Linked DNA regions of Diceros bicornis minor. The protein of the gene in region 2 interacts with the protein of the main gene of each other region in a pairwise test. Links are inferred from orthologs where the notes say so. Each region holds a gene or a part of one and is shown on either strand. Other genes may lie near its edges. The genes, in order: MIER2, NDN, FXR2 and P4HA3.

Region 1 (7,924 bases), on a different chromosome or scaffold from region 2:
GCAGACTGATGCAGCTTCTATGGAGAACAGTATGGAGAGTCCTCAAAAAATTCAAACAGAAATACCATATGACCCAGCTATTCCACTACTGAGTATTTAGCCAAAGAACCTGAAATCAACAATCCAAAGAGGCTTATGCACCCCTATGTTCATTGCAGCATTATTCACTATAGCCAAGACTTGGAAGCAACCCAAGTTGCTCAGTGGCGCAGCGGTTAAGTGTGCGCGCTCCGCTTCTGTGGCCCGGGGTTCGCAGGTTCGGGTCCCGGGTGCGCACCAACACATCGCTTGTCAGGCCATGCTGTGGCGGTGTCCCATATAAAGTGGAGGAAGATGGGCACGGATGTTAGCCCAGGGCCAGTCTTCCTCAGCAAAAAAGAGGAGGATTGGCTTTGGATGTTAGCTCAGGGCTAATCTTCTTCACCAAAAAAAAAAAAAAATGATGAGCATACAGCCCCCACTGCTGCCTGGGGCTCACCCACTCACTTCCACCACACCTTCTCCGAGGCTCCCCTGGTGAATGACTCAGACCCTCGTCCCTGAGGGGTCTGACGCCCTGTCATCCGGCTTCCGTCAGCCCGTGGGTGCTGTCCGCTTCACGTCAAAACTGGGCACAGAAGGATCCAGAAAGCCCGATGGTGACCCTGCTCCGTTGCAACCCCTTAAACACCGTGCACCCCAGTCTCCTAAACTTTGCCTCTGCTCCCCCTGCCGGGTGCCCTCGCCAGCCCCTCCTTTCCTCCCTACGGCTCAGTGCACACACTGCTCTTTATTTTCTTAGCTTTATTTCTTTTACTTTTTTTTTTTTGGTGAGGAAGATTGGCCCTGGGCTAACATCCGTGCCTATCCTCGTCTATTTTATGTGGGACGCCACCACAGCAGCACGGCTTGATGAGCGGTGGGGAGGTCTGTGAACCCCGGGCTGCTGAAGCGGAGCGTGTGAACTTCACCACCACTACGCCACTGGGCTGGCCCCACATTTCTTTCACTTGTATTTGAAAATCATTCAGGTTTACTGAAAAATTGCAAGAATAAGTATAGTCAAAAAAGCATCCACACACTCTTTCCCAGACTCAGCTGTTAACATTTCTCCCCATGGCTTTATCATTTGCACCCTTTCTCTCTGTCGCTGTCTCTCTCTCCCCGCGTGTGTTTTACAGACGTAAAATATCTTCTTCTGAAGCACTTACGAGTAACTTGCACACATCACGGCACTTACCCTGTCTTAGTTCCTTCGGGCTGCTGTAACAAAAATGTCATAGACCGCGTGGCTTATAAACAACGGAAGTGCATTTCTCACTCTCTGGAGGCTGGAAGTCCAAGATCAAGGCGCCAGCACATTCAGCGTCTGGCGGGGCCGCTTCCTGGTTCATAGTCGGCACCTCCTTGCTGTGTCCTCACGCGGCAGAAGGGGCCGGGAGCTCTCTGGGGTCTCTGTTACCCCTGATCCCATTCATGAGGGCTCTTCCTTCAAGTCCTAAAGACCTCCCGAACGCCCACCTCCTAATGCCACCACACTAGGATGATTAGGTTCCCATATATGCATTTCAGGGGTACACAGACATTCAGTCTGCAGTAACCCGTAAACACTTTGGTGTGAATTTCCTGAGAATAAGAATGTGCTAACCACAGAAGGGTTACCGATTTCAGTGCACTTAACACCGATGCCATACTTTCCTCTAATCCACACCTGAATTTCAATTTTGTCTGCTGACCCGATCATGTTGTCTGTAGCATCTCCCTCTGCACTCGGATCCTGTCTAGGATCACGTATTGCATTTAGCTGTCACGTCTGGAAGGTTTCCACAGGTTAGTCTTTTGCAGCATTAACATTTTTGAAGAATACAGCCCTTTTTTTTTTGGTTTGTTTAACAGAGGGTTCCTTATTTGAGGTCCGTCTGAAGTTTCCTCAAATACGGATACAGCTTGTGCCCTCCAGGCCAGATTAAGTGATACAGTGTCCTCAGCGCACCGCCCCTCACAAGTGACGTTAATTTTTCTCACTTGGCCGAAAGGTTGCCTCATTTCTCCTCTCTACCTGAGAATCAGTGGGTGAGGAGAGGCTTTCAGACCCTAAAAACACCCTTCTCTTCACCTGAACCCGCTTCTCCCTGCGTTTCACATCGGTCAGTGATTCTTGTCAAAGCTCTCTCCCCGGAGTCTTCCCGCTGCCCTAGGCAGACTCAAGCCCTTTTGCTTGGCTGCTGCCACCTGTTAGGACACGAAGCCCCACTCTCGTCGTATCTGCTGATGCGACTCCTGCCTCCCTGGAGCCCTGGCTGCCCAGCACCCCGCTGAGGGCTGGGGGTGGTGGTGGGGGGGAGACACATCACATTGATTGAATGAATGAATGACCAGCTGTTCTCTGTGTCAGTGAGGACTCTGGGTCACAAGAGCCTGAAACCCCATTCGCAGCCTGCAAGCCTACACAGGGAGCGGGGGCTCACTGACCCAGGGGACTGGAGAGCACAGTGGTGCTGCCCCCTCCCGCTGGCAGGTCCTGGGGGCTGGGGTAACGCTTTCCTATCGAGCATCACATCGTGCAGGGTGCATCTGGACTTCTCAGCACTGTGGTGGCTGACAGCTGGGAAAGGAACGGGGCTTGGGGGTCCCCTGACTCTCCAATTCCCTTCCTCCTGGCCTCAGCAGGAACCACCATCCGCTCACTTGCGCCAGCCAGAAATCTGGGGGCTGTCCCCCACGCTCTCTCCCCCTTCAGTCCCTCCCGGGAGCTCGTGGAGCCCACCGTCCCCACCCTCCCTCCGCTTCTCTGTTTCCAGCCGCCACCTCGGTCACAGGCCACACAGCGGCCAGCTCGGGCCACCTGGGGCTTCGCTGTTCCTCTCTTGCTCTCTCTACACCCGCCCTGTGCTCAATGCACTTGTCAGTCTGAAATCTAAAATGCCACCAAGCCCTGTTGGGACTCCAACTCCCCTCCAGCGCCCAGCACAGGTTCAGAACTGCAAACGGCCCGTAAATACGTGACCAATCAATAACGAGGGCCTTCAGAGCCAAGCGGGCCCGGTTCCCGCCCACCTCCCCTGCCCGCCCAGGCACGGACGCCCGAGTCCAGGGCGGCCACGTGTCTCAAGGCGCATGGTCGTAAGCTCCCCAAGCGACTCTTTGGCACCCTAGATGGATCATCACTGGTGCACAAGTGCAGAAAGTTCCAGAGCCACGCGGAAGTTCCAGAACCTTCAATCCTGGCTCCATCACTTATGCATTGGGGGTCGGTCCCTCTGGGCCTCGGTTTTCTGATCTGTGACATGGGGGTACTAATGCTATGGGGCCATGGGATTGGTAAGAGGAAACGGGACCAGCGTGCCCTACGCAGGTGTAGCTGCCAGGTGTTAGCATTCTCCCTCCGGCATCCCCCACCGCCCAGGCCCGGGCCCGGGCCAGGGGGCCCGGACCCTGTCCGCCCGCCCGCGCACCCACGCCGGCGCAGCCGGTCCGCGAACCTACTACGACGCGGACCCTGTCCGCCCGCCCGCGCACGCCGCCCGCGCACCTACTACGCGCCCGCCCGCCCCGCCCCCTGGCCCCGCCCCTGGCCCCGCCCGGCGCCCCCGCCCTCCCGGCGCCGCAGCCAATGAGCGCGCGGCCCCGCATCCGGGGATCCCGGCGCGGCCGCCGCCTCCCGCGCACACACGGCCATGGCGGAGGTGAGCGAGCGGGCCGGGGGAGCCGGCGCCCGCCCCCGCTCCGCGGCTCGGCCCGCCGGCGTGTCGGGGCTCCGGGCGCGGACCCCGCGGGGCAGAGGCCGGGCCGGTGCCGCGCCCGTGTGCCGAGGGGCGCGGGGCTCCGCGGCGGCTCCCGGCCCCTCCCGCCGCCACATCGCGGGCTGCGGCGCGCATGCGCGGGCGGGCGCGGGCGGGGGGCGGAGTGGGCGGGGGCCCTGGGCGGGGGCGCACGGACGCGGGGTGGGCGCCCGGCCCGGTCCCCGCGCGGCCGCGCCCCCGGGGTCCGCGGTCCCCCCGCCCCTCCCCCGCCAACTTTGCGCGGCGCTCGGCCGGGCGGCCGCTGCCCGGGGACCCCTGCGGACCCCCGCGGCCCGCGCGAGCCCCCTGCGGCGGGGGCGCCCTCCCGCCGCTCCCGGGCGGGCTCCGGCTCGCGGGGCGCTGGGGGTCGGAGCAGACCCCGGCGCCGGGGTTCCTTCTCCGTCCGCGATCGGGCGGCGACCCCTGGCCCGAAACGCTGGGCGCCGGCCCAGTGCTGGGATTCGGAGGGTTTCCGACTTGGGGACCCGCGGGTGGGCGCTGGGATGCGCGAGCAGACTCCCCGGGGCCGTCAGGGCAGAGACGGGCGCCGAGAGCCTCCTGCAGGTCCAGCCGGGGGCGGAAAAGTTTCCACTTCGGGAAGTTGGACGAGACCGTGCGACCCCCCTTCCCCCTCGCAGCCTGGGTGCGGGTGGGGTGACACGGTGCGCCCGCCGGGGCGCGGTGCGTGCGGAGGGTGCAGCCTGGACACGTCGCGCGGGTCCGCAGACCCAGCGAGTGGTCGTGGTCCGGGGGTGGGCCCCTGAGGCCGAGAGGAGAGGGTGCCCACCCAGGGGTCTGGGGTGTTCGGCTGCTCACGGGGCCGCATGGATAGTTTATGTCTGAGCGCAGCGTGGGTGCGCCTGCAGGGTGGGCCTGGCCACTCTCTCCCACCAGTGACGTCCTCGGGGGTAGCCATAGGCCCTGCACGTGCACCAAGGAGGGTGCAGGGCCTGACTCACCTGCCAGTCCCTGCCTTATGCTGGGTGGCTGGATCCAGAGGGTTCTTGGAGAGTTGGTTCTCCTTTCTTTGGGGGCATTTAGGGAAACTGAGGCCTCCTGTGGGCAGTGGCTGGCGTTGTGGGTTGGAGACAGAAGCCGAGTCTAGTGATGGCCCAGCAGGGTGTGGTAGTCAAGTGTGTGTGTCTGTGTGCGCTCCTGGCCCTGGGCATCGGGGGCCTTCTTCCTGGGCCCCAGGTGGCATCTGGGCAGCACTGTTGGCCTGGCAGGGATCTGTGTGTCGTGGGTGGACGGGATCGGCTCCCCTGCCAGCCTCTCCTGAGGGCTGCCGGGCTCGTCTGTTGACCCTGCCTTGCCCAGTGCCGAGCCCTGGCACCCTCGCGGCCGCCAGGTGCCTGGGGCGCTCCTGTCACCCCTGTTGACAGTTTGGGGTGGTGCCCTCTGAAGTGAGTTGAGTTGGTTTCCCGAGAGAAACCCTGTGTGCCTGGCTTCATTTGGGGCCCTGAAAGTCTGGCTGGGAGCAGAAACCTGACGATTCCGTCCTCAAGGGCCCGAGAGTCTGGGCAGAGAGGCTGGGCGGGAAAGGGCCAGCGCGTGTGCGAGGCCCAGATGAGAGGGGCCGCGGCCAGCCTCCGCCTGGGAGACTCTTGTGGCTCTGGAGCCTCTTGCTCTGTGTGACCTTGGGCAGGTCCCAGGAGGTCTCAGCTGCGGTTTCCTCGTCTCTGAAAGGGGAAGAGCCTAAAGGTCTCGGAAGATCTCGGTTCGGTGGCTGCGCAGAGAAGCTGGACCCTGTAAAATCACTGGCGACCAGCTGTCTCAAACTGTAGAGGTGGTGATGTGTAAGCTAGCAGTGACCCTTGCTCAGTGTCACCTGCCTGATCTCCGTTGTTGCCAGGATAGCCACCCGCACCCTGAGAGAAGACAGGGTGCTCTTTTCTCCTCGGACGCCAGGTTCGTCTCTCGAGGAGCCGAGTACACTGTCTTGTGATTAGAAGACGTGGCTCTCCGTTGTACTTGGGATAAAGTGCGTCCCTCCCTCCTCCCCCCGCCCCCGTGACCCCCTGCCCGCTGGTGTGGTCCCGAGGATCCCCCCCTGCCCCCTCGGGACCCTCCACGTCCACTTGTTTGTTGTCTGTGTCCCCAGCCAGGCTGGTAACTCGTGTGGATGGAGACAGGCGGAACCTGCTTCTCGATTGGCTGCCGTGCACCGGGCGCCTACCACCCCACCTAGCCCAGGACAGGTTCTCGGTGGACACTGGTCGGGTAGAGGCGGGAAGTGCTGGGGGTCCAGCCGGGGACAGCACCTCAGCCGGGGCGGGTGGAGGTGTCGATGCATCACGGAGGGTTCTTGAAACCTCAACGGTTTTGTTATCTCTCCTGGTTCTGGGGTTGCCTGGGCTCAGCTGGGCAGTTGTCACTCAGAGTCCTCACAAGGGCTAGTGGCCGGGGCTGGGGCTGGCCCCAGGGGAGGAAAGCTTCCTGGCTCCCGTGTGGCTGTCGATGCTGGCTGGGACGCCTCTGCCAGCCTGTCCGTGTGGCTTGGGCTCCCTCACAGCGTGGCGGCTGGGTTCCAGGAGTGACTGTCCCAGCACATCCCAGGGGAAACCTGAATTGCATTGTATGACCTTGCCTTGGAAGCAAATGGAGGCCCTTCTGCTAGTCACAGGCCCGGGCGGATGCACAGGGAGGGGCGCAGGACCCTGCCTCTCGAAGGGAGGCACATCCACGCACTTGGAGAGCCTGTGGGGTGGACATTTGGGTGCAGCCGTCTTGGAGGAGGGATCTGCCCCAGCATCCTTGTGGGTTGAGCTCGGAGGAGTGGTAGCTAGGAGTCAGACGCTGCCCGGGGGGCGAGGGCTCCTGCCTCTGCGTCTGAGAGGCCAGGGACCCCCCGAGACAGGATGGGCAGTCCTCCTGCTGGTGAGCAGGCTGCCTCTGCCACTCGAGGGGCCTGGGCAGGACCCCAGGCCAGGGCCCCTCTCTGCTGGGACCGAGTCTCCAGAGCGTGGCTTTCCTTCCGTCTGGTCCTCCTGCCGTGACTCGTCTTTCCCCGAGTGCCCTTGGCCAGCTCACCATCCTTTTCCTTCGTCCCCTCGGCACAGCGGAGGGCTGTGATGGATGGAAGCATCCAGAGTGTTCTGAACGAGGGGAAGGAGAGCCCCAGGAACTCCATGACTAGTGGGCTTGCCCCTGAAAGTCGAGGTTGGCGCAGGGGGAGGCGGAAATCCATGCAGTCTGTTCCTGGGTCAGTTTTGAGGAACTCGCAGTCGCCTGGAAGTGGATTTGGGGGTCCGGAGCCCCGTGGGGAACAGGCTGCCGTTCCTGCCGCTCCCCGCTCTGCTGCTCTGCCTGAGCTCCCGCTCCGACGGAGGGCCCGGTGCTCAGACCCTGCAGGCCCGCACGCCGCCGCCCCGAGGCCGCACCGCGGGTGGACGCAGCAGGGCTGTGCCCTGTTTCTCGCTCTGGACAGCGAGCGTCCAGTCAGCCTCTCTTAGTTTCCCTGCGTTAGTCGGGGCCCTTGGTTGCAGGAGACGGAAAGCCGGCTCTGGTGGAGAGGGAGCCCAGAGGGTCCTGCAGGGGCCGGGGGGTTCAGAGGGCACTGGGGCCTGGGCCCGGGGCAGCCTGCTTGCTGATGGCAGCCTGCTGTTTTCTGGAGGGAGGCGAGGCCGCCTCTGCCGGCCACAGGCTGACCCAGGGCACCGGGTGCCCTGCCCTCCTCGCCTGCTCCCAGGTGTGCTGCCCCAGCCCCGCCCGGCCGCTGGCTCCCTTTCCCTCCCTCTGCGTTCATCGCCTCCTGCCTCCCTGGGGCTCAGCTTCCTAAAGCCGATGGGCGGTGAGGCTCCCACTCGGCAGAGGCCCCCCCCACCCTTCCTCCCCCACCAGGCTTCGCCCTCCTCCTCTGCGCCTGGTCCTCGCCAGCCCCCACCCGTGCTACTGCAGTGCCCCGTCTGGCTCTGCCTCGCAGCTCTCGTGGCCTCACCGTCCGTTGGTGGACTTTCATTATGCTGCACATGGACTGAGGGGCTCTAAGGGGTTTCGGAGTCGCAGAGTCTGGGTTTGAGTTTGTAGTTGTATCACTTACTTGCTGTGTGAGCTTGGATGAGTGACTTGATCCCTCTGAGCTTCGATTCCCTTGTTTTTCTTATGAAGAGAATGCTTACACAGCCTCTTGAGGTTTTCCTGAGGAACCACTGAGGAAATTCTTA
Region 2 (6,601 bases):
TTTCAGTGGTTCTCAGAGACTGAACTGCCCATAAAAGGGCTTTTAGCAGTGTATGGGGAAAGTGTCTTTTTGTTTTCTTACACTTTGTTTTCATTTTTCCCATTTCTGGAGGGCATTTATATGTGCGTTTGAAGGGGACAGAGGCATAAACTGCTTCGGTGTGCATTACACTCTTACGCAATGAAAAATTTTCCCACCCTCATGTCAGGATGTTACCCTTTGAAGAACCCTCCTCTAGAGGCTTTCTCAGGGTGACGTTATTTACCATCTTTGTTTCCCAAACTTCTCTTTCCAGCCCAAGCCTCTTTCGTGAGACCTATATATCCAGATATTTGCTGGACATGTCAACTCCCTCTTCCCACTACCTCTCTCCAAATAGTCTCAGGAAGTGGTGCCTCCATATCATAGCTACATGGCACTGCTCAGTCTTAGCTGCCCCTGAGACGGAATCTTTGTCATCCTTGATACTCACAGTCTCCCTTCACCTTCTCTTATTATTTATATCTTCCCCAGCATCCCTATTGAACATGGGTTCCCTCTGTTCTATTCTCTGTGACAACATTGTTGCTCCCTAGCAATATGCATCATAGAATAATGCACGATTATTTAATACTCATTTGTTTGTTTGCTTATGGCCCCTTTTCTCCACTAATTACCCTCTCTCTAGATTGCAGAGACCATGTCTCTCCTTCTCATTATATCCCCAGGCACAAAGCCTGAAATGTAGTGTTTAATAAATACCTGCAGAACGAAGTTGAAATGCAAGCCATCATTCTTTCTCAAGTGGGTTCCTGTGAAAGATCTCCTAAATGGTCTCTCTGCTTCTCCTTATCCACCTGCCCCCAACTCCAGACTTAATTCTAGTGACATTTCTAAAGGACACTCCTGATCTTGTCAGTTCCTAAGTGCCAGCAGGCTACATTGTGGGTCTGGGCAGGACTAGAAGATCTCCCGTTTTAGTGAGCGTCTTTTGGCCTCAGTTGGACAGGCATGCACAGCGTTATCCTAGGGAGAATGCAGGGATGAGGGGCCAGGGTTGAGTCCCCTCCTCCACTCTCCCAACTGTGGAAAGCAGCACAGCCTGTCCTCACTTATTCTTTTGAAACAAAAAGGAGCCAGACAGCCAAACAGTCCCAATGCAATTGGTTTCCCCCTCAGACTGAGCTACTTTTCTAAAATGCAAATCTTTCAGGCACATGATAGACATTGCTCAATATTTGCTGAACACATTAATGTGAATTGTCTGTCTCAATTCCTTGGCCTGCAAGGCATTTGGGGCCCATATGGGGGCTCTAAGGTGGAGGTTGCTGCCTATGCGTACAGGAAAGAGCCAGAAGGATTCACATTTCATTCGGGGCCTCTGGGCCTCCGCACTGTGAGCATGCGCGCTGTCCACCGGAGACTCTGGGGTGACCCCCCTTCCTCTGTTCGCTATGGAAACCAGTGCCAGGACAGGCCTCTCCTCCTATTCCTGAGTCTGCCAAGAACAGCCTATTCCACAGCTGTGTAATCTGTTCCACATTACAGAGTTTGAAGTAACCCACCAGCAAAACTGTCTTCAGCAGAATGTTTAAGTTATAACTTCTCCATATACTTCCTGCATCCATGGAACTTCTATTTACAGAAACTTGACTTAAAGAGTAGCCTTTAATGAGTTTCTCTGGGGAGTTATTTTGTAAACTTCAAGCCTTTGCTTCTAAGCTGCTGTCCCTGAAAGGACTCATTGCCCTTATCAAATAGGGCTAGCCCTGGAGATAACCAGCAAGCCTAATTTATCCCCAGCATTCTCAGAGCATCACCGGAGCTCCAGCCCTGAATCTCGACCCTTGAATTAAAGAAGCTGTGGATGGCTCTTCTTTCCTATGGTGCCTTCTGTCCTTTTCCTTATCCTTCTAAAGGTCTGCATGTCTGGTTCACGGGTAGGCACTTTATTAGATAGCTATCAAGCTACTGACCTCTCCCATGACACATGTGCAGTATACTTTCTCTACTTAAAGGCTAACCCGAGCATTACTTTTTTCACCCCCCACTCCATGAATTTCCTTCTTGGTGGGAAATGGACCCTCTTCAGCAGACCTTTTCCTGGGAAGAAAATGATATCCCTTTAGGAGGCATACAGTTGGGCTCCAAGGGTGAGCAGCACTGGGAATCTACTATGTACTTGGTTTCAAACTTGGGCGTCAGTCCCAATGCTTTAAACTCTCTGAGCAGAATCCCTTATAGTAGTTCTAATCCACAGGCTCTTGTGCAGTAATAAACAACCCTCCTGTCAGAAATGAGGTGTGAAGTGAGCTGTGGTAGTAGTGGGGGTCAACTGTTGCACATAGGCAACTTCACTAGAATGAGGTTCAGTCCAGGAAACCCAGGCAGCTCTCTGGCCAGAGCTCTGAGATCCCACTACAGCAGGAGCTTTTATAATTTTATAACTGTTGCGTTTTTATAATTTTTCTTATCATTGCTTTCATAATTTTTATAAACAAGTGTTTTTATACTTTTATAATTGTTGTGCCCGAGCTTGTGATTTAATTTCATGAATCCACTAATTCTAGGAGGGAGAAATTTGAGGATGTAATTTTAATAACCTCACAATGGCAAAAGTTATGGCATATGGCCAAAGCTGAGCTGAGATTTAAATAACAGTCTCTTTCATTTTCATTATTAGAAATACCATAAATGAACTAAATACTTAACCCGAATAGTTAGAAAAGAATATCCAAATGAAAGAAAAAAAGAGGAAGAAAAATTAATGGTGATAAAATCTGAGAAATGAGGATTATTCTCAAGAAAAATGTTTTTAATAAATCAATTCAACAGCCACTCGTAAATAATTTTAAAAAAACATATAACTGACACAACTCTGTAAGATGTACTCAGAAAAATAGAAATCCATAACTTAAAGAAGAAGAAGAAAATAAACAGGAAAAAATCCATCGAAGACACATCTCAAAGATCTGTAGAAATTATCCTTTTGAGGTGAAAGCTTAAGGAGACCTACTGGAGAGACTGGTGTGGGACTGGTCCTGCTAAATGTGATACAAGCATGGACATCCAAAGATAGAGAAACAGCATGGAAAACGCTTCAAAGTCAATCTACTTGAGAGAAAAAAAAAAGTGAAAAATAAGAAAGGGATACAAGCAAATAAAGAGAGGACTCTAGAAATGTCAAGACAGTATTTAATTATGCTTTGGGTTGCAGGTGACAATATCCAGACACAAGATGGCATATTTATGAAGCTGTTGGCTTGAGGAAACCCAGGAAGGGCTGAGGGACCACGCTAGCTCAGACCAGGGATGTTGATCACTCTCAGGAACCCTGGATCCAGAGGCTTCTACACCCACCCACTCCTTTCTTCATGGGTGCTTCTCTGAGAGTTTTGTTTTGTTTTGTTTTGTTTTTGCCCACTGCAGATCTGTTTTCTGAAACTGGAAAACACAACTGCCAATACGTTGCATCTGATATCCTTGGTCATCTGAGAGAGACTGCCAGATATGATCTATGGGACCCTTGTTAAAAAAAAAGTCTTGGGAGGGATTTGCGTGTGGCTGCCAACATGGGAACAGTTAGTTGCTGCGAGAGGGTGGGGGTGGGGCCCTGTGAGAAGGTGAAGTTCCCACAGAACACAGAGTAGAGGTCGCAGCAGTCATCAGGGGAAGGAGGGAGCTGGGCAAACCAGGAAAAAGATATCATACAAATTTATGCTAATAAATATGACAATCTTTGTATGATAAGATCTTAATGGAAAAATTAAAATGAAATCAAAATGACCCAAAGGAAATGGAAAACCAAAATCAATGACCAGTAAAATACTAACAATGTCATTAGCATAGCATCTCCAAGAAAGTTTCCTTTGCACATGGATTGACTATATTCTGCATTTCTTATTTTATAATCCCTCTGATTTGGTAGGGATTCCGTCAATTTTCATTGGTATTTCTCAGGATTCCAACCTCAGACATCCTCCTCACAGTTTCTATATTTTTTGGGGGGGCGGGGGCAATCTCGATTGTTCTCTCAGTTTAAATTCTCACATTCGCTGCCATGAAATGCCAGTTTACACACCAGCCTAGATCTTTTTCTGGGACTCTCATATCTAACTTGATTCTGGATATGCCCACTTGAACATTCCCTAAGAAACTCAAACTCAGCATCTCCGAAGCTTAAGTCATCTTTCCTCTTAAACTTGCTCCTCTTCCAGTGCTCATCCATCCCTCTCCCCTCCTCCTCAATACCTCCTTAGCCCAAACATTGACACCTGGGGATCACTGTTGCCATAATTCTAGCGGCGCCTCTACCCTCCTTGGGATCTCAACGCACACCCGCCCCCTTCGGGCTCCCCGCCCCGTCCCTGGGAGCTCTGCCTGCGGCAGCGGACGCGCAGGCGCAGTGGCCCGTCCCTCCGCCGCCCCGCCCCGCCAGGCCGCTGCGGAAGGCGCCGTGCGCAGCAAGGCGCACTTCCTCTCCAGGAGTCAGCGGAGGGAGAGTAGGCTCGAAGAGCTCCTGGACGGAGAGGCCGTGTCGTTGTCAGACGGAGCAGACATGTCCGAACAAAGTAAGGATGTGTGCGACCCCGGCTTTACAGCCGAGCCCTCCAACTCCGAGGTGCACGGCAGCCCTGGGGTTCCCGGGGGGCTCTCTCCGCCCGAGTCTCAGGACGCGACCCTTGCAGGGCCAGAGAGCCCTCCTCTAGGCCCGACCGACGCCCCTCTGGCCTCGCCGCCGCCCCAGGCCCCAAGCGAAGAGGGAGACCCGAAGGCCCTGCAGCAGGCCGTGGAGGAAGGCCGCGCCTACCAGGCCCCGAGCGCGGCCCAGCCCAGCCCAACGCCGCCCGCCCCGGCCCAGCTGGTGCAGAAGGCGCACGAGCTCATGTGGTACGTGCTGGTCAAGGACCAGAAGAGGATGATCATCTGGTTTCCAGACATGGTGAAGGATGTCATCGGCAGTTACAAGAAATGGTGCAGAAGCATTCTCAGGCGCACCAGCCTCATCCTGGCCCGAGTGTTCGGGCTACACCTGAGGCTGACCAGCCTGCACACGATGGAGTTCTCGCTCGTCAAAGCACTTGAGCCAGAGGAGCTGGACAGGGTGGCGCTGAGCAACCGCATGCCCATGACAGGCCTCCTGCTGATGATCCTGAGCCTCATCTACGTGAAGGGTCGCGGCGCCAGAGAGAGTGCTGTCTGGAACGTGCTGCGTATCCTGGGGCTGCGGCCCTGGAAGAAGCACTCCACCTTTGGAGATGTGAGAAAGCTCATCACCGAGGAGTTCGTCCAGCAGAATTACCTGAAGTACCAGCGCGTACCCCACGTTGAGCCACCTGAGTACGAGTTCTTCTGGGGCTCCCGTGCCAGCCGCGAAATCACCAAGATGCAAATCATGGAATTCCTAGCCAGGGTCTTTAAGAAAGACCCCCAGGCCTGGCCTTCCCGATACAGAGAGGCTCTGGAGGAGGCCAGAGCTCTGCGGGAGGCCGATCCCACCGCCCACTGCCCCCGCAGCAGTGTCTCCGAGGACTAGCAAGGTCTGGAGGCAGATTAATGGTTTCTGACCCTCACCAGGGCGGTGGAAGGGTGGGGGTGGGACATTAGAGTATTCAGGATTTACAGTGCAGTATTTCACGTGTAAGTTTGTTTTCAGTACAGTGCTTTTATACCTTTTAATGCAATGTTGTATTCATTTCCGTACTATTAGGTAGTGTGTAGGATTGATGCATGTTTGTTTATAAGTAAGCTTTGTTGGTGCTTTCGCTTTTTGTGCTACCTTTCTTGAATTTTTGTACCAGAGATGTGCTAAACTTATGAAATACATTGAGAAATTTTCCAGCTTATTCTTTTATATGGAACGGATGATGTGTATTGGGGTAGACTGCTCCTGGAGAGTTTGGAAGAACTCACCAGTAAAGCTGGCCTAACCAAGAGAAAAGTCAAGGCCCCTCTCTCTGACCTTGCTGGGCACAGGAACCATCCGTGTGGAGTGCAGTGATATGAACTGAAATGGTCTCAATGTGGGCACTTGGCACACTTCACTGAACACAAATACAACCCCACCATGAGTAAACTTTAAAGTAAACATTAAAGATTCTTGTGATACAATCATTTTTGGAAAAGTGTTCATCTTTTAAACAAAGTGGTATGGGTTGGGAATAAGACATTTTACAAAATGTACAAATATAACTTTCATCTAATAGGGTGGGAAAATCACTACTTATCATTACTCATAGATGTGTGAAGTTTATAGTTTTTTTTTAATGTAACTCGTTCATTTCAAACCTTTGACAAATATAAAAAAGTATAAAAAGAAAAAGCAAAAATGCTCATAGTCACATCACATAGAAATAATATTTAGAGTAATTTCCTTTCTTGTATTTTCTACATTTTATTAAAATTAATAGCTGTCTCTTGTGGGCAGTTAAGGACTGAAGCATTTTACTAAATGCTTTACATGCATTTTCTCCTTTTATTTAATCCTCACAACAGCGTGATGAGGCAGGCACTTAGTACATCTACACCATGGAGGAAACACAGGAAAAATGTAGGTAATTAACTTTACCTAGATCATAAAGTTTAGTGAGAGGAGGAGCTAGGATTCGAACCCAGACAGAAT
Region 3 (7,030 bases), on a different chromosome or scaffold from region 2:
ATTCTGAGAGGGGTAAAAGGGACCTTCCCAAATTTATAGTTCTGGAAGCAATATAAACAAACACTCCTTGACCCACACTGAAATTTGCTGAGTCATGAATATTAAATCAGTAGCAAGGTCAGAATAGCTAAGTATCTATATGGCACTGAAAGTTGAAGAAAGATTAGTTGAATTTAGAGATTTACTATTGTTTTTAACCGAGGCATGGGGCAGAAAATGCTAAAGTAGCCAGAACACAAAATCCACATTACCTAGCTTTCAGCTTAGCTCCAAACTCTACTCTCTGATTCAAAGTATCCTGTCCCCAATTCACTCAAGTCTATCATTGCCACAGCCCACAGGAGAAAAGAAAAAGATTCAGAGAGCGATTTTCTGTTGGACACTCATATGTGGAAAGGAAAACATCTCCCTTCCCAGTTTTCTTTTTTTTGTGAGGAAGACTAGCCCTGAGCTAACATGCGATTCCAGTCCTCCTCTTTTTGCTGAGGAAGATTGGCCCTGGGCTAACATCCATTCCCATCTTCCTCTACTTTATATGGGACGCCGCCACAGCATTGCTTGACAAGCGGTGCATCGGTGCGCGCCTGGGATCTGAACCTGCGAACCCCGGGCCGCTGACATGGAGCGCGCGCACTTAACCGCTACACCACCGGGCCGGCCCATTCTTCCCAGTTAATTTGAAGTGGATACCAATCTTTCCCAGCTGCACTTGGCTCCCACGTTTCCTAGAACAAAAGCAAACATCATATCTTGATCTCAGACTCAATTTAAGAATCACTCTTCTTGGAACCCAGAATTTCGAGTGGGAAGGACCCAGATGAAAGACAAGATGGGAAAATTGGGGCTAAAATCTTATGAGGAAGGGTATTTCAACAAAGGTAATGCTGGTTTGGGGGAAAAGGATATAAGAGACAAATGTACTCTGTCAGAATCAGAAAGGAATTAGAGACTGCCAAAGAAAACAGAAATGCTATGGAGACAGGCTAGAAGAAAAAGTCCCATGAGTTAGGAAAGTATGCAGAAAAAATGACAGAAGAGGATCAGCTGGGAGCTTCTTTGAGACACGGAGTAAGATAGTTCCTGGGGATTACAGAGGAATACAGAAATACTAGGATAAAAAGCCAAAGACTTAAATTCAGAGAATAAGTTAAGATAGACAGATGTGGGTACCCTCAGGCACTGAATATAAAAAAATCTGGTGAGGGAAGTAGGGCAGAAATGGATAGGCACTTAGAGTGGGTAAAAAAATGCCTACACTGAACTTACCAACTGAAGCTGGGGCAGAAACCTTCCACTACAAGCGCAAATATGAGACTCTTTCCAGTTACAGTAAGATATAACTTCACAAGGAAGGAGCTGGAGAAAGTCATTTCCAAGGGCATGAAGGTAGAGAGCTCTTTTATGGGAGAATAGGTTTGAGGGGAAGTAAAGGAAAACGGGGCTCTTCTCACAAGTGATGTTATGAGAAGATATCTCAGCTCTTGCTCCTCAGGGTAAAATGAAAGACTAAGACAGAAATGTCTGCAAAAATTCCAGGCATAAAGTCCAAAGCAGTTCAAAATAACAACAGTCACACAAAGAAAAATTCCTGAGAGGCAAGAGGGGTCTCCCTCTGGCTAAATGTAAATGTCCTAAAAAATGTCCTAGAAAAGGAAATCTAAGGAACCAAATCCTGGGTGATGGGCAAGCTTAAGTAAACAAGGATCTTTTAAAGACAGTCCCCTTCTTCTTCAAAAAAAGGCTATCAGATTCCCAAATTGGGAGAGTTGGCCAAAAGTCTTCTAGAAGTGGAAATCCTTAAGACAGAAGGAATCCTCATGAGATCCCCTTTTAGAGATCATGAATACGAAGCTTACACTCATTTAGAAACGAAATGAATGATCTAAATGTATTTGAGGTGAAAGTGAGACAACAAATACAAATCCACCCCTGGGTAGACTGGTAAACCAGCTAGCCTTGGGATGAAGGGGTGGGGTGAGAGACTTGTGAAAAGATGCCACCCTATGGCTAAGGAGGCAACTTGATGGTACAACCCAGAGTTCCTGAGGTCAAAGATAACAAATGTCATAAATGGATTTTGACCGTTTCTCCTTGGGTTGGGAACAGAAATACAAGATGAAAGTGGGGTGAGTCTTCCAGAGCCAGTAGGAAGAGGCCTCTCCCAGGAAGACGAAAGGATCTAATATGGGACGGCCTTCCCAAGGGGTTAATAGGGAAGAATAAAGAGAATTCTCCATGTGCTTGGACTGTGGGGAAGATGTGATTAAGGTCTAAGGTATGTCTTCCACTAGGAAACAGGAAAAGTCAATAGGAAGCTGGGTAAATGGGGTCTCTTGGCGACGGGGGCCGGAGCGGCGGACGACACTGATCTAAGCACAATGATGACCTGATGTTCAGTCTCTGAGAAGGAGGTAAAAGCAGGTGAAATACCAAGAGGTAGGGGGTTAACTTCCAGAGGTCTCCCCAGGAGGGCTGCGGGTGAAAGTGTGGGTCTCAGGTTCTAAGGGTCAGGACTTAGCTCCAGAAGCTCGATCCCGCCCCACTCTTCCCTGCTCTGGCTGGAGGGAGGGGGCTAAAGACGGGTGTCCCCGGTCGGCGCGCCGCCTCACCTTGTAGAAGGCCCCGTTGGAGCCGCGCACCTCGACGGGCAGTCCCGGCTCCACATCCCCCCCAGAGGCCAGGCCGCCCATGGCGCCGCCACCTCCTCCGACTCCCCCGGCGGCTGCTGCAGCAGCGGTCTGACCACGGGCCGGGCCAGGGCCCCGGCGTCTCCCCGGAGGAGGAGCCGGAGGGGGAGCCGCGGGGGGCGGGAGCCGGGCCGGCCCCACGGCGGCCCTGCCACAGCCAACGAGCAGGGGGCCGGGGCCGGGCCGCTCCCCGTCCGCCGCCGCCGCCTTGGTCTCCGCCACCGTGAGGGAAACGGCCGCCGCCGCCGCTGCCTTCGTCACCTCAGCTTCCGCCCGCCGCCGCCCCGCAGCTGCCTCAGTCCCGGGACCCGCGGCTGCCGCTGCCTCTCCACGGCCTCCACCTCCCCCTGCCGCCTCCGCCTACTGCGCAGGCGCACCGCGCACCCGCCCGCCGCGCGCGAGGCCCCGAGGCTCACGGCGCAGGCGTCAAGACTGGCGACCCAGCTCGTGCTCGCCAGCGCATCAGGGCTTCCACAACTCCGTTTCACTCTCGCACGCCCCCTCCTGGTCGCTTACTTGCGCTTGCGCAGAACGAGATTGGCCCCCTTTCTTCGCCACCACCACTCCACCGCCCCCAGCTCTTCCTTTCCCCGCCCCACAACACTGAGAGTTAACCAATCGTGGGGAGGGAGGAGCCGAGCTCACTCAGTTGGATTGGATTTCTGCAGCTCCTGGTCAGACCACAGCCACTTTACCACTGGGAACTCCCCCAGGCTTGGACAAGTTAGGGATGGGCATGCGCCTAAATGACTGCTTGGTCACTTGCCCCACCTTTGTCTTTCTTGGTGCGCACGCTCTAAAGAAAAAAAAGAAGAGGAGTCGAAAGGCAAAAAAAGGTGCCCGGTGCGCAGGCCCTGAGCTTTACTGTCCATAGGCGTCTACCGACTCTTGAGCTTCTGTAACTCCTTCCCATAGGAAATTTGAGTCACGTTGTTGCCTAGAGAAAATTCTGATCATGCATATAATGAAAGGTTAAAAAATAATTTCAAAGCAGTACCGAAAAGCAAGTGCAACTTAGATCAGCACAAAATGTGATATCTAAAGGCTGAGGAAATTCAAAATAGGAACAATCGTTATGGAGTAAGGATAGTAGAGGGGAAACTTCGGGTTCTTGAACTAAGGAAGAAATTTAGGTAGAAGCGAATAAAAATAGCACAGAAATTAGAATCACGTGTTGTGCATTTAGTCATTTAGCAAAAATTTATTTAGCCTTCACTGTGTTCCAATCACTGTGCTAAGTGCTGGGGATACAAAGCCAAGATGTGGTCCCTGATCTCAAGGAATTTATAATATATTGGGGAAGGGGCAATTAAACAAGTTTAAATAAATAAATTAACAAATAAGTGCATAGAGTTTGACTGAAGATATGATAGAGATAAGGATTAGGGATAGAGAAAATTCCAAGGAGACAATGGTCAGTTGTTCTTCGGAGTGATCAGGGAAGGCCAAGCAGAGGTGATGCAAATTGAGATTTGAGGGATGAATAGAAGTTTGCTAGAGGAAAAGTGCAGTAAGAGTATTCGTGAGAGAACAAGGAATACAATGGTGCAGAGGAGCAGAAAGAGTATGTCTTTCGGGGGAACCACAACCAGTTCAAATAGCATTTGGCTTGAAGTAGGGAGCTGCAGGAAGCTAGACTGTGAAAGACTTGCAAATCAGATTAAAGAGAATGGCTTTTACTTTATCAACAACGGAGAGCCATTGAAAGGTTTTAAGCAGTAGTATAATGGGATAAGATTTACATTTTACAACTGTGGAGAATAGATTAAAGAGTAAGGGTGAGACCTGTGAGGAGCCCTTGCAGGTAAGAAAGATGCTGAGGATCTACCTTGATTAGGGCTCAGGGTAACAGAGGTACAAGTTGATTTACACCTGTTAAATTTGCAGTAGAATCAACAAGAATTGGTGATGAGGGTTCGGTGGGGTGGGGGTGAGGAGCCAATGAAGAAGAGGGAGGAACACGGGACAACTCTCAGATTTCTACCTTGGGTTACTGAGTGAATGGTGATGCCAATCATGGAAGAGAGAACACAAGAGACAAAGGTTTGGAGGAGAAGTTGATGAGTTTAGTGATTTTAGTTTCCCTCTTTGAGTCAGAGGATCCACCATCCAGGTGGACACGATCCTTTGTCTTCAACAAACTTCTCTTTCAGGTCTCAATTTCTCGGGCCGCCCCGTGGCTTAGCAGTTAAGTGTGCGCGCTCTGCTGCTGGCAGCCGGGGTTCGGATCCTGGGTGTGCACTGACGCACCGCTTCTCTGGCCACGCTGAGGCCGTGTCCCACATACGGCAGCTAGGATGTGCAGCTATGACATACAACTATCTACTGGGGCTTTGGGGGGAAAAATAAATAAATAAAATTATTAAAAAATATATATATAATTTCTTTAGCCTTCTACTATGCCCACACTAGGTTAGGCCTCCCACCTCCCACTGCCAAAGCATCCTATATTCCTTTGTGGCACTTATCATGGTTGTAATGTTAATGATTTGTCCAGCATCTTTCTTCTGCCATTACACTATAAGCTCTGTGAGGTCAGAGACTGGGTTCCATGTCTGTTTGTCCCCACCATTGTACACCCAGGACCTGGCACAGTTCCTGGAATGGCAAATATTAACTGAATGAAGGAATCAGTGTCCTGCAGGTCAATGGACACACAGGCGTGTGGCCCAGGAGAGGTCTGGGCTAGAGAGGTGGATGTGGGAATCATCAGCATGTTAGTCATAGTTAAAGCTGTAAGAGAAAATTAAATCTCTAAAGGAAAGTGTAGACTGAGAAATGAATTGGGTCCATGATGGAACTCTCAACTACACCAGTATATGAAGGGCTGATAAAAGAAGAGGAGCCTTCCAGGCGCCTGAGAAGGAACAGCAGTAAGTAGGGTAACAGAAAGGTAAAGAGACTATTAGCAGTGATTCTGGTAAGGAGTAGGGAGAGTTAGAGAACTTAAGTGGGGCAGATTATCAAGAGTGCTGGCTGTCAGACTGAAGAGTGTGGGTTTGGACTCAAGCAGTAGGGGTGACAGAATTTTGTTTTAGAAATGGCCCCATCACCAACTTCCAAGCTTTTGGCACCAACAGTCCTCTCAGGCTTGATTTTTCCTCTTCCTTATCTGCTCTGGTCATTCTTGATTCAGGCAAAGGATGGGAGTGGGAAAAGGGGAACAGCATTTCAGACAGGAGAATGGCATGTGCAGACAGCTCAGAGAGGAGAATACAGTGCATTTGAGGTACTGAAAAGAGTCTAACATAGTTAGAACCGACTTGGAGAGGAAACATGGTTGGAAGGGTTGGTTTGGGCCAGAGCTTGGAGGGATTAAATATATTTAGAAGTTTGGACTTTCTGCTGAGAGCAGAGGGAGCCATTACCGGATCTTCAGCAGACTTGCCTTTTAGTAAGATTATTCTAGCTGGAGTATAAAGGATGTGTAACAGAATGATCCAGCTTGCCTTAGGACTTCTGGTTCTTTCTTTTTATTTTTTTGTGAGAAAGATCGGCCCTGAGCTAACATCTGCCAATCCTCCTCTTTTTTTGCTGAGGAAGACTGGCCCTGGGCTAACATCCATGCCCATCTTCCTCTACTTTATATGGGATGCCACCACAGCATGGCTTGACAAGCAGTGCGTCTGTGCGCACCTGGCATCTGAACCGGCGAACCCCGGGCCGCCGCTGCAGAGCACCGGAGCTTGTGCACTTAACCGCTTGTGCCCCCGGGGCCGGCCCTGCCTTAGGACTTCTAAATAGAGAGATTGGGAGGAAGATAGAAAGAGGGATAGATTGATAGATGGATGGTTAGATAGATACTGAAAATGAGGATTAAGTGAAAGTTTACATACTGAATGTTAAGACTTCCCCCAGACTCCTTCACCCAGCTCTGAGAATACCTACAGCCAGGTTTATACCCTCCAAGTAGGAGTTTGGAAGAGCCTTTTCTGGAAATCTGATCAGACAAGAAAAAAGACCTAATGATACTGAAATCAGAGGCTCCTCATGGAAATAGCCTAGTGGATCACCCTATAGGAGAGGCCATAGTCAACATGCCTCCCTACCGCCCACATATACACACACAGTTTCCAATCAGTATTTTAGTGTCCCAATCTTCAATATCAGCAGACAACTAAGGATTACCAGACATTTGAGGAAAGCCTCTAAAACGAAAGACAGAAGCCAAAACAAATAGAGAAAGAAAAAAAAACATAGAAGAAATAAAGACTATGCAAGGAGAAAAGCATTTTTAAATAAAACTATCATGAATATCCTCAAAAAGAGAAGAAAAGAACATATATCTATGAAACAAAAACAGAATGTTTAAAAAAATGCAGAGAGGGCTGGCCCCGTGGCTT
Region 4 (7,396 bases), on a different chromosome or scaffold from region 2:
AGACACTTATAATATTCAAAATGTCTAGTATTTAATCCAAAATTACTCAACATATGAAGAACCAGGAAAATCTCAATTAGTATGAGAAAAGAAAATCAACAGATGTCAAAGAAGAAATGACACAAATGTTGAAATTGTTGAAGATTGTTATAAAATGCTCCAAGTAGTAAGGGTGAACACTCTTGAAATGAATGGAAAGGTAGCAAGTATCAACAAAGAAATAGAAGATATAAAGAGGAAGCCAATGGAAATGTTAGAACTGAAAGTACAATCACCAAAATAAAAAAATCACTGATGGGGTCAATAGCAGAACAGACATGACAGAGAAAAGAGCCAGTGAACTTGAAAACAGATCCATAGAAATTATCTAATCTGAACAACAGAGAAAAAACATTTTTTAAAAAGTGAACAAAGCCTTAATGACCTGTGAGGCAGTACCTAATTTATGTCATCAGAATTGCAGAAGAAGATTTTGAAAAAGAAGTATTTGAAGAAATAATATATGACTATTTCCCAGATTTGACAAAATAGATAAACCTACAGATTCAAGAATTTCAGTAAATCCCAAAAAGGATAACCTCCCCACCAGAATTCATTCCCACATCATAAATCAAACCTCTGAAAAAGGAGGACAAAGACAAAATTCTTGAAACCAAGCAGAGAAAGATATGCATTGCTTATAGAGGAACAATGATTTCAACGACTATGTACTTCTCTTCAGAAACCATGGAGGCCAGCACAAAAAATAAAATTGAAATAAAGACATTCTCAGACGAAAGAAAAATAAAGGAATTCATTGCCAGCAGACTTGCTCTAAAATAATTGCTAAAGGAATTGAATCAGTGATCAAAAAACTTCCCACAAAGAAAACCCCAGGCCTAAATGGTTTTAATGGTGAATTCCACCAAATGTTTAAAGAAAAATTAACTCCAATCCTTCACAAATTCTTCCAAAATAGACAGAGGAGGAACATTTCCCAGCTCATTCTGTGAGTCCAGTATTATCTTGATGTCAAAACCAGACAAAGACATCATAAGAAAACTACAAACCAACACCCCCTGTTAATATAGATACAAAAATCCTCAACAAAATATTAGCAAATGAATCCAGCAAGATACAAACAAGATTTATCCTAGGAATGCAAGGTTGGTTCAACAAAAAAATCAATCATTGTAACACATCATATTAAGAGAGTAAAGGATAAAAACCACGTGATCATCTCAATACATGCAGAAAACATATTTGACAGATAAAAGCATTCAGTGAACTAGGAACAGACAGGAACTTCCTCAACCTAATTAGGGCATTGACAAAAAACCCACAGTTAATATCATACTTAATGGTGAAAGTCTGAAAGCTTTCCCCCAAGATCTAGAACAAGACAAGGATGTCCTCTCTTGTCACTTCTATTCAACATTATACTGGAGGTTCTAGCCAAGGCAATTAGACAAGAAAAAGTAATAAAAAGCATCCAGATTGGAATGGAAGAAGTAAACTATATTTTCCAATGTTATGATCTTTATATATGAAATCATAAGGAATCCACAAAAAACACTATTAGACATAATAAACAGTTTTAATAAGGTTACAGGATACAAGATCAATATACAAAAATCAATTGTATTTCTATATACTAACAACAAACAATCTGAACATGAAATTAAGGAAACAACTCCATTTACTATTGTATCAAAAACAAAACCATTTATATGAAATGCCCATGTAGGTAAATCCATATATAGATGGAAAGTAGATTAGTGGTTGCCACAGGTGAAGGGGATGGAGAATGACTGCTAATGGATATAGGGTTTCTTTCTGGGGTGAAGAAAATATTCTGGAATTAGATAGCGGTGATGGTTGCACAACTTTGTGAATATACTGAAAACCAATGAATTATACACTTTAAAAATGAGGATTTTATACTATGTGAATTATAACTCAATTTTTAAAAGAAAAAAAACTTATGAATAAGTTTAACAAAGTTATATATAATTTCCTAGCTCTGTCTGCTGAGAGGGAGGACCTGGGAGCAGAGAAAACCCAGTTGCAGTAAGCATACCTAGCACCCAGATCTTGGTTTCTGAATACTCTACTCCACTAAAAGGAACCAGGGCTCATGGGGGAAATGCTCGATTTCAGGACTGGGGCAAGGAAAGTACAAGATGACCTGGAATATCTTGCAAATAACAAAGTATGGAAGTGCTCAAGGAATGAAGGGGACATATCAAAAGGACACAGGAGCCCGATTGAAGAGCTACCACTGGCCAACTCTAGGGCAATTTGAGCATCAAAATAAGCAAAGTAATGGATTATAATCCATTCAATAAAATTCATGAGCCCATACTGATATAAATAAATGAATATGTAAATAAATGAGGCATCTCAAGATCCTTAACTTAATCACACCAGTAAAATCCCTTATGCCATGTAAGGCAACATAGTCACAGGTTTTGAGAATTAGGACCTGGGCATCATTGGGGGGGCCATTATTCTACCTACCACAACCCCCAACCTTCTATGGGCAGAAAGCAGTCTAAGACAACTACTCAGTTACAAACACAGGCCCATGGCCATTCCAACATTCCCGCCGTAAGGGGAAGTGTTATGAGTGTGATGGAGAGGGGAAGTGTTATGAGAGAGTGTGATGGAGAGGAAGCCAGAGTGGAAAGAGACAATTTAACCAATTTTGGTTAAAATAGTTTTCTTTTGCCAATTTTACAAATACATCTAATAATGAGAACACATTGCTAGGCTCCCCCATGCCAGGATCCTGAGGGCTTTGGGAAGGGATTGTGCAAATTAGGGGCCTTGAAGCTTAAGCCTCAAAAATTTCATGGTAAATCTGCCTCAGGTAGCTATTAAGAACACAGCATCTGGATCCACGCTACCTGGGTTCAGGTCCCTGCTCTACACTCAGTGGCTGTGTGTGCTGATTGTGTTGATGTTACAGATTGGGTTCTCTAGAAACGGATGCTAAGATGGAGTTTGGGGTGCAAGGTATTTATTAGGGGTCAACATCTGTGAAAGGGAGAGGCAGCAGGACAGGACAGAGGAAGACGTCAAAGAGGCTTAACAAGCCTTGATCAAGGTGGCAAGAGGGCTAGAGCTAGTGTTTCCTGTCAGAGCTGTCTCATGTTGGGCCTGAATGGCTGGGCCTTTATTCCCTCATCTCACTCAGTCACTGGATGACTATTATTGCCACCTTAAAGACTTCCACTGGATTTTCATTGAGCACAGGCTAAATTTCTGAGTATGACATGCAAAGCCCCTTCACAATCTGACAGTCCCAATCACAAGGAACTTTTCATCATTCCTAGAATTCAAACTGTTTTCCATCTCCAAACTTTGGTACACATGGGTAACTTCTGCCAGGAAAGCCCATCGCTCTCTTGCCTGTTGTCTTCCAGACAATTCCTTTTCATCCTTTTGGACCTGCACGCGCCTCTGTGAAGCCCTCTTCACCACTATGCAGGGACACCAGCGCCCTCCTCAGTGTTGCCATTTCTCGTTGCACAACCCTCAGTTACCCTGATAGCACTTTTTTGTGGTTGTGTGTTTACATATCTGTCTCCCCTTGTGAGTCCAGGGTTGGATGTGCTATTTTTCTGTGTCCTCAGCACAGTAACAGAGGTGCTAAATATCTGTTAAATGAATGAAGGAGGGAACACTGCCTAGCCTGGGAAGGAGGGGAAAAGAATAAGTAGCCTCCGGTATAATAATAACAATATTTTTGTTCCCTTAAGTGACTTTAGGCAGATTGTGTAGAGCAGTTGCCCAGGACCCCAGAGTTTTAGGTTCCATAGCTCTAGATTTGTCATGCACTGACCCTAACGGCCTTCATCCTCCTCACCCCGGGTCAAAATTCTACTCATCCTCCAAGAGGGCTCAGACGTCCAGAATTCAGTGAAGTGTTTTCCTCCCTTCTGCTCTCTCCTCGCTCTTTACCCGCACTGCTGTTACTATAACGCATGATTTACCCTCTTGGATTTCCCCATCAGAATCCAGTGGTGTCTCTGTATTTCCACCCTCTGATCCAAGGGGGTAAATATTTTGGAGACGGCGCGGTACAGCCATAGACCAGTGAATTCATCGCTCACCCATCCCCGCCTCCATTTCCCTAAGTGTGAAATGGGCACAGAGGAACACTTTCCGAGGGCCGTGATTTAGTGGAGGGTGTCAGACCCTGAGGTTGCAGGCGGCCCCCACGCGGTCTGAGGAGCTAAGGGGCAGGAAGCGGGGAGATGGAGAGCGAGAGGAGGCGTCAGAGCCAAGAAGGAGTGGAGGGGCGGGGGCCGAGGCGCCGCGGCCGGGGCGGGGCCGAGGGGCGGGCCGGGCGGGGAGCGGCGGGCGCCTGGCCGGGCTGGACGGTCCGAGGGGACGCGCGGGAGCGCCGGCCATGGGCCCCGCGGCGCGGCTGGCGGCGCTGCTGGCGCTGCTGGCGCTCCGGGCAGCGGACTCGGCAGCGGCCGCGGCGCGCGGGGACACGTTCTCGGCGCTGACCAGCGTGGCGCGCGCCCTGGCGCCCGAGCGCCGGCTGCTGGGGCTGCTGCGGCGCTACCTGCGCGGGGAGGAGGCGCGGCTGCGGGACCTGACCAGGTGAGGGACGGGGGCGGGAGCGACAGAGACGCCAGAGTGCGGGAGACTGAGTCAGAGGGCGAGACTGAGACACCGTGCTACAGGATGGGGTGACTCTGAGGTTCATTGTCATGTTGTGTGGGACCTCAGACCCTGTGTCACACCCTGAGACTGAGACACGGTGGCCCAATGTGACCCCCCCAGACCCATTGTCACCCAGTGTGGGACCCCGAGATACTGTGCCATGGGGTGATGGGGAAACTGAGACTGATTATGACCCTAGAGACGCTGTGTCACACAGGGTGGGGCCTCAGACTCCGTCACACACACACAGTGGCACTCCAGATCCAGCGTCACACAGCGAAGTTGATACACTGTGGGAAAGTGTGGTGGAGTGCCTCTGAAGCCAAGGACCTCACAAGGCACTGTGTCAAGTTGTGTGGGCCCCAGGTCTTGTGTCACAGAGATGCAGAGATACTGCCAGAGTGAGATGCAGAGAATAGTGTGTGATGCTGCAGCCACACATGTCTTGACCATGTGACCCAGTGAACTGGTGTTTAGTATGAGGAGTTGGGTGATGTTCTGTGACCTTGGAGGAGATTTACGCGTCATTGGGACTGGATGGGCAGGACACTATGGATATCATACTCTGCATGTGAAAGGTGCCAAGTGATTGTACAAGTCGCTCTATGAATAATGCTTCATGTTCATCAATTCATTCAACACTTATGTTTGAGTGCCTATTATGAGCCAGGCACTGTTCCAGGCACTGGGGATAAAATGGTGAACAAGACCCAACCCTGCCCTCAAGGAGCTTATAGTCTGTAGCATCACGATTGGTAATCAGAGATGTCCATGGCCTCCTTTGTTTTCAGCTCTCCCTTCTCTTTACTCATGTAAGAACTAAGTACTAAATAAATGATAACTGAGATGTTATATGTGTGTGAAAGTATTTGACAGCAAGAAAACACTGGGCAAAACCATACTTGATGCTAGAGGATACTGAGTGTTGCACACACAAGCAGATGCTCAGCCAATGTTGTTTTGCTATCCAATCAACAAACTCTAGTGCTACACACTGTGGGATAAAACACTGTAATCATGTATTGACTCTGTCAGTGTCAAACTAGGAAAGATGAGTGATTGTGTACAATGCCATGTGTATCATAGACACATATGTGTTGTGCTTTCTCTCTTTGGGACATTGGGAAGCCTACAGTGTGAGAAACAATGGTGTAACCATGTTGCTGTCTGAATATATTAATATTGTACTTCTATCACGTGACTCTCTGCTGAACTGAGACAACAGAGGGCTGTCTCACAATGTACTGCTTATCAAATTGTGAGTGTGTGTGATGGTAATACTGATTCTGGGACACATGGGAAGAAGGTGTGTGGGACACCATGGCTATGCGAGAGAGCCCATGTGGAAGAGAATCAGTTTGTGGAAGTGTGTGTGAGAGATCTTGTTTGTTACTCAATGGTGACTGAATGATGATGTGATTTGGTACATGCTCTTAAGTATGTAGCTGGCATATAAGCAGTTATATGCATGTTTAAATTTACTGTTAGTTTGAAATAGCGTGATGATACACACACGTGCACACCCACACATACACATATATATAATGTATGTTAAATCTGTATTAATTATAACAGTACATGATGATAATTTCAATAATTCTTGTCACTCTTTGGAGTAGCATAGTTGCTTAGTGTTCTGTGGCCCAAGTTTACAGAGCAAAATGTTTTAATTTTGTTCTTAGTCCAGATTCATTGGGGTCCAATTTCGTTAGTGGAAATAGAGCAGACTCTTTTCTCTTTGATTTAAGATACCCACATGCTCCCTGCTGCTTATGTGCTTGTTGTCCTACCACTAATCTCTTTATTTGAGTGGCTCAGATGGAGATGGGGAGCTCAGAATTCTGATGCCAGGCCCTCAGGGAACAGGCTCAGAAGAGAGAGCTTGCAGTGTTGATCAAACCGGCTGGCCAGGGATCCCCTCTGCATGCTGGTCTCTTTTACTGTCTTATCACCATTTTCATTGTCACAGCTTTGTCACAGTGGGAGATCTGGCACAAACTTTATCTCTTTTGATACTCTGTCACACACAATGGTTTGAAATAGGTTTGTATTACCCTCTTAAACAAATGAGGAATCATTTAAAATATGGGAAAACTATAGTTTTGTACCTTATCCAAGATTATAAATCTGGTAGGTAGCAAATCCAGGACTAGGACACAGTTCTTTTCATTGTTTCTTTCCATCATGCTATGCTTACTTTATCTGGCATGCCAGGACACAGACCAAGCCCCATAACTGCTAAGGTTTTATGAGCAGCTGGAGTACATAGTGGTTAAGAGTCTGGATTCAAGAATTTAACAGACTCTGCTTGAATCCTTGGCTCTGACCTTTGGCAAATTCCTCTGCCTCTTTAAGCATTAGTTTCCTAATTTGTAAAATGATGATAATGATAGTACCTACCCTTATAGGGTTGTTGGAAGGATTAAATACCATGTAAAGGTATTTATCATTGTGCTTGGCATATAATAATTGTTCAACAAATGTTAGCTCTTTATAATTGTTGTTTATTTTAAGACTGGCTGATGAAACTAGACCCCACTTTTGGCTCTAAGCAGTAACTAGGATTGTTGAGAGGCCAGATAATAAAAAAGAATCAGAGAAATTCTAGATTCTCTTCTCATATGACTTATGAGCATTTAATTTCAGAAAGTTTAGTTTGATATTTTAGAGACTGTCTATTCTCTAGTCAATGCCCTAAAACCTAGTGAAATGTTTGCCTTTTAAAACAAGAGTTTTG

The links.
Region 1: the proteins of NDN (region 2) and MIER2 interact in a two-hybrid assay, tested with the Homo sapiens proteins (2 studies listed by BioGRID and IntAct). The link is inferred for Diceros bicornis minor from reciprocal best matches to the Homo sapiens genes NDN and MIER2.
Region 3: the proteins of NDN (region 2) and FXR2 interact in a two-hybrid assay, tested with the Homo sapiens proteins (2 studies listed by BioGRID and IntAct). The link is inferred for Diceros bicornis minor from reciprocal best matches to the Homo sapiens genes NDN and FXR2.
Region 4: the proteins of NDN (region 2) and P4HA3 interact in a two-hybrid assay, tested with the Homo sapiens proteins (2 studies listed by BioGRID). The link is inferred for Diceros bicornis minor from reciprocal best matches to the Homo sapiens genes NDN and P4HA3.

The regions. Positions count from the first base shown.
Region 1 is NW_026691553.1:98,770-106,693, reverse strand, and holds the start of MIER2 (mesoderm induction early response protein 2), read left to right. Parts: upstream 1-4,918; 5' UTR 4,919-5,669; intron 5,670-7,924. UniProt on the Homo sapiens protein: Transcriptional repressor.
Region 2 is NC_080744.1:76,965,342-76,971,942, forward strand, and holds NDN (necdin), read left to right. Parts: upstream 1-4,446; 5' UTR 4,447-4,537; coding exon 4,538-5,515; 3' UTR 5,516-6,090; downstream 6,091-6,601. UniProt on the Homo sapiens protein: Growth suppressor that facilitates the entry of the cell into cell cycle arrest.
Region 3 is NC_080757.1:10,725,656-10,732,685, reverse strand, and holds the start of FXR2 (RNA-binding protein FXR2), read right to left. Parts: upstream 3,019-7,030; 5' UTR 2,691-3,018; coding exon 2,610-2,690; intron 1-2,609. UniProt on the Homo sapiens protein: mRNA-binding protein that acts as a regulator of mRNAs translation and/or stability, and which is required for adult hippocampal neurogenesis. Specifically binds to AU-rich elements (AREs) in the 3'-UTR of target mRNAs.
Region 4 is NC_080746.1:56,656,306-56,663,701, forward strand, and holds the start of P4HA3 (prolyl 4-hydroxylase subunit alpha-3), read left to right. Parts: upstream 1-4,396; coding exon 4,397-4,596; intron 4,597-7,396. UniProt on the Homo sapiens protein: Catalyzes the post-translational formation of 4-hydroxyproline in -Xaa-Pro-Gly- sequences in collagens and other proteins.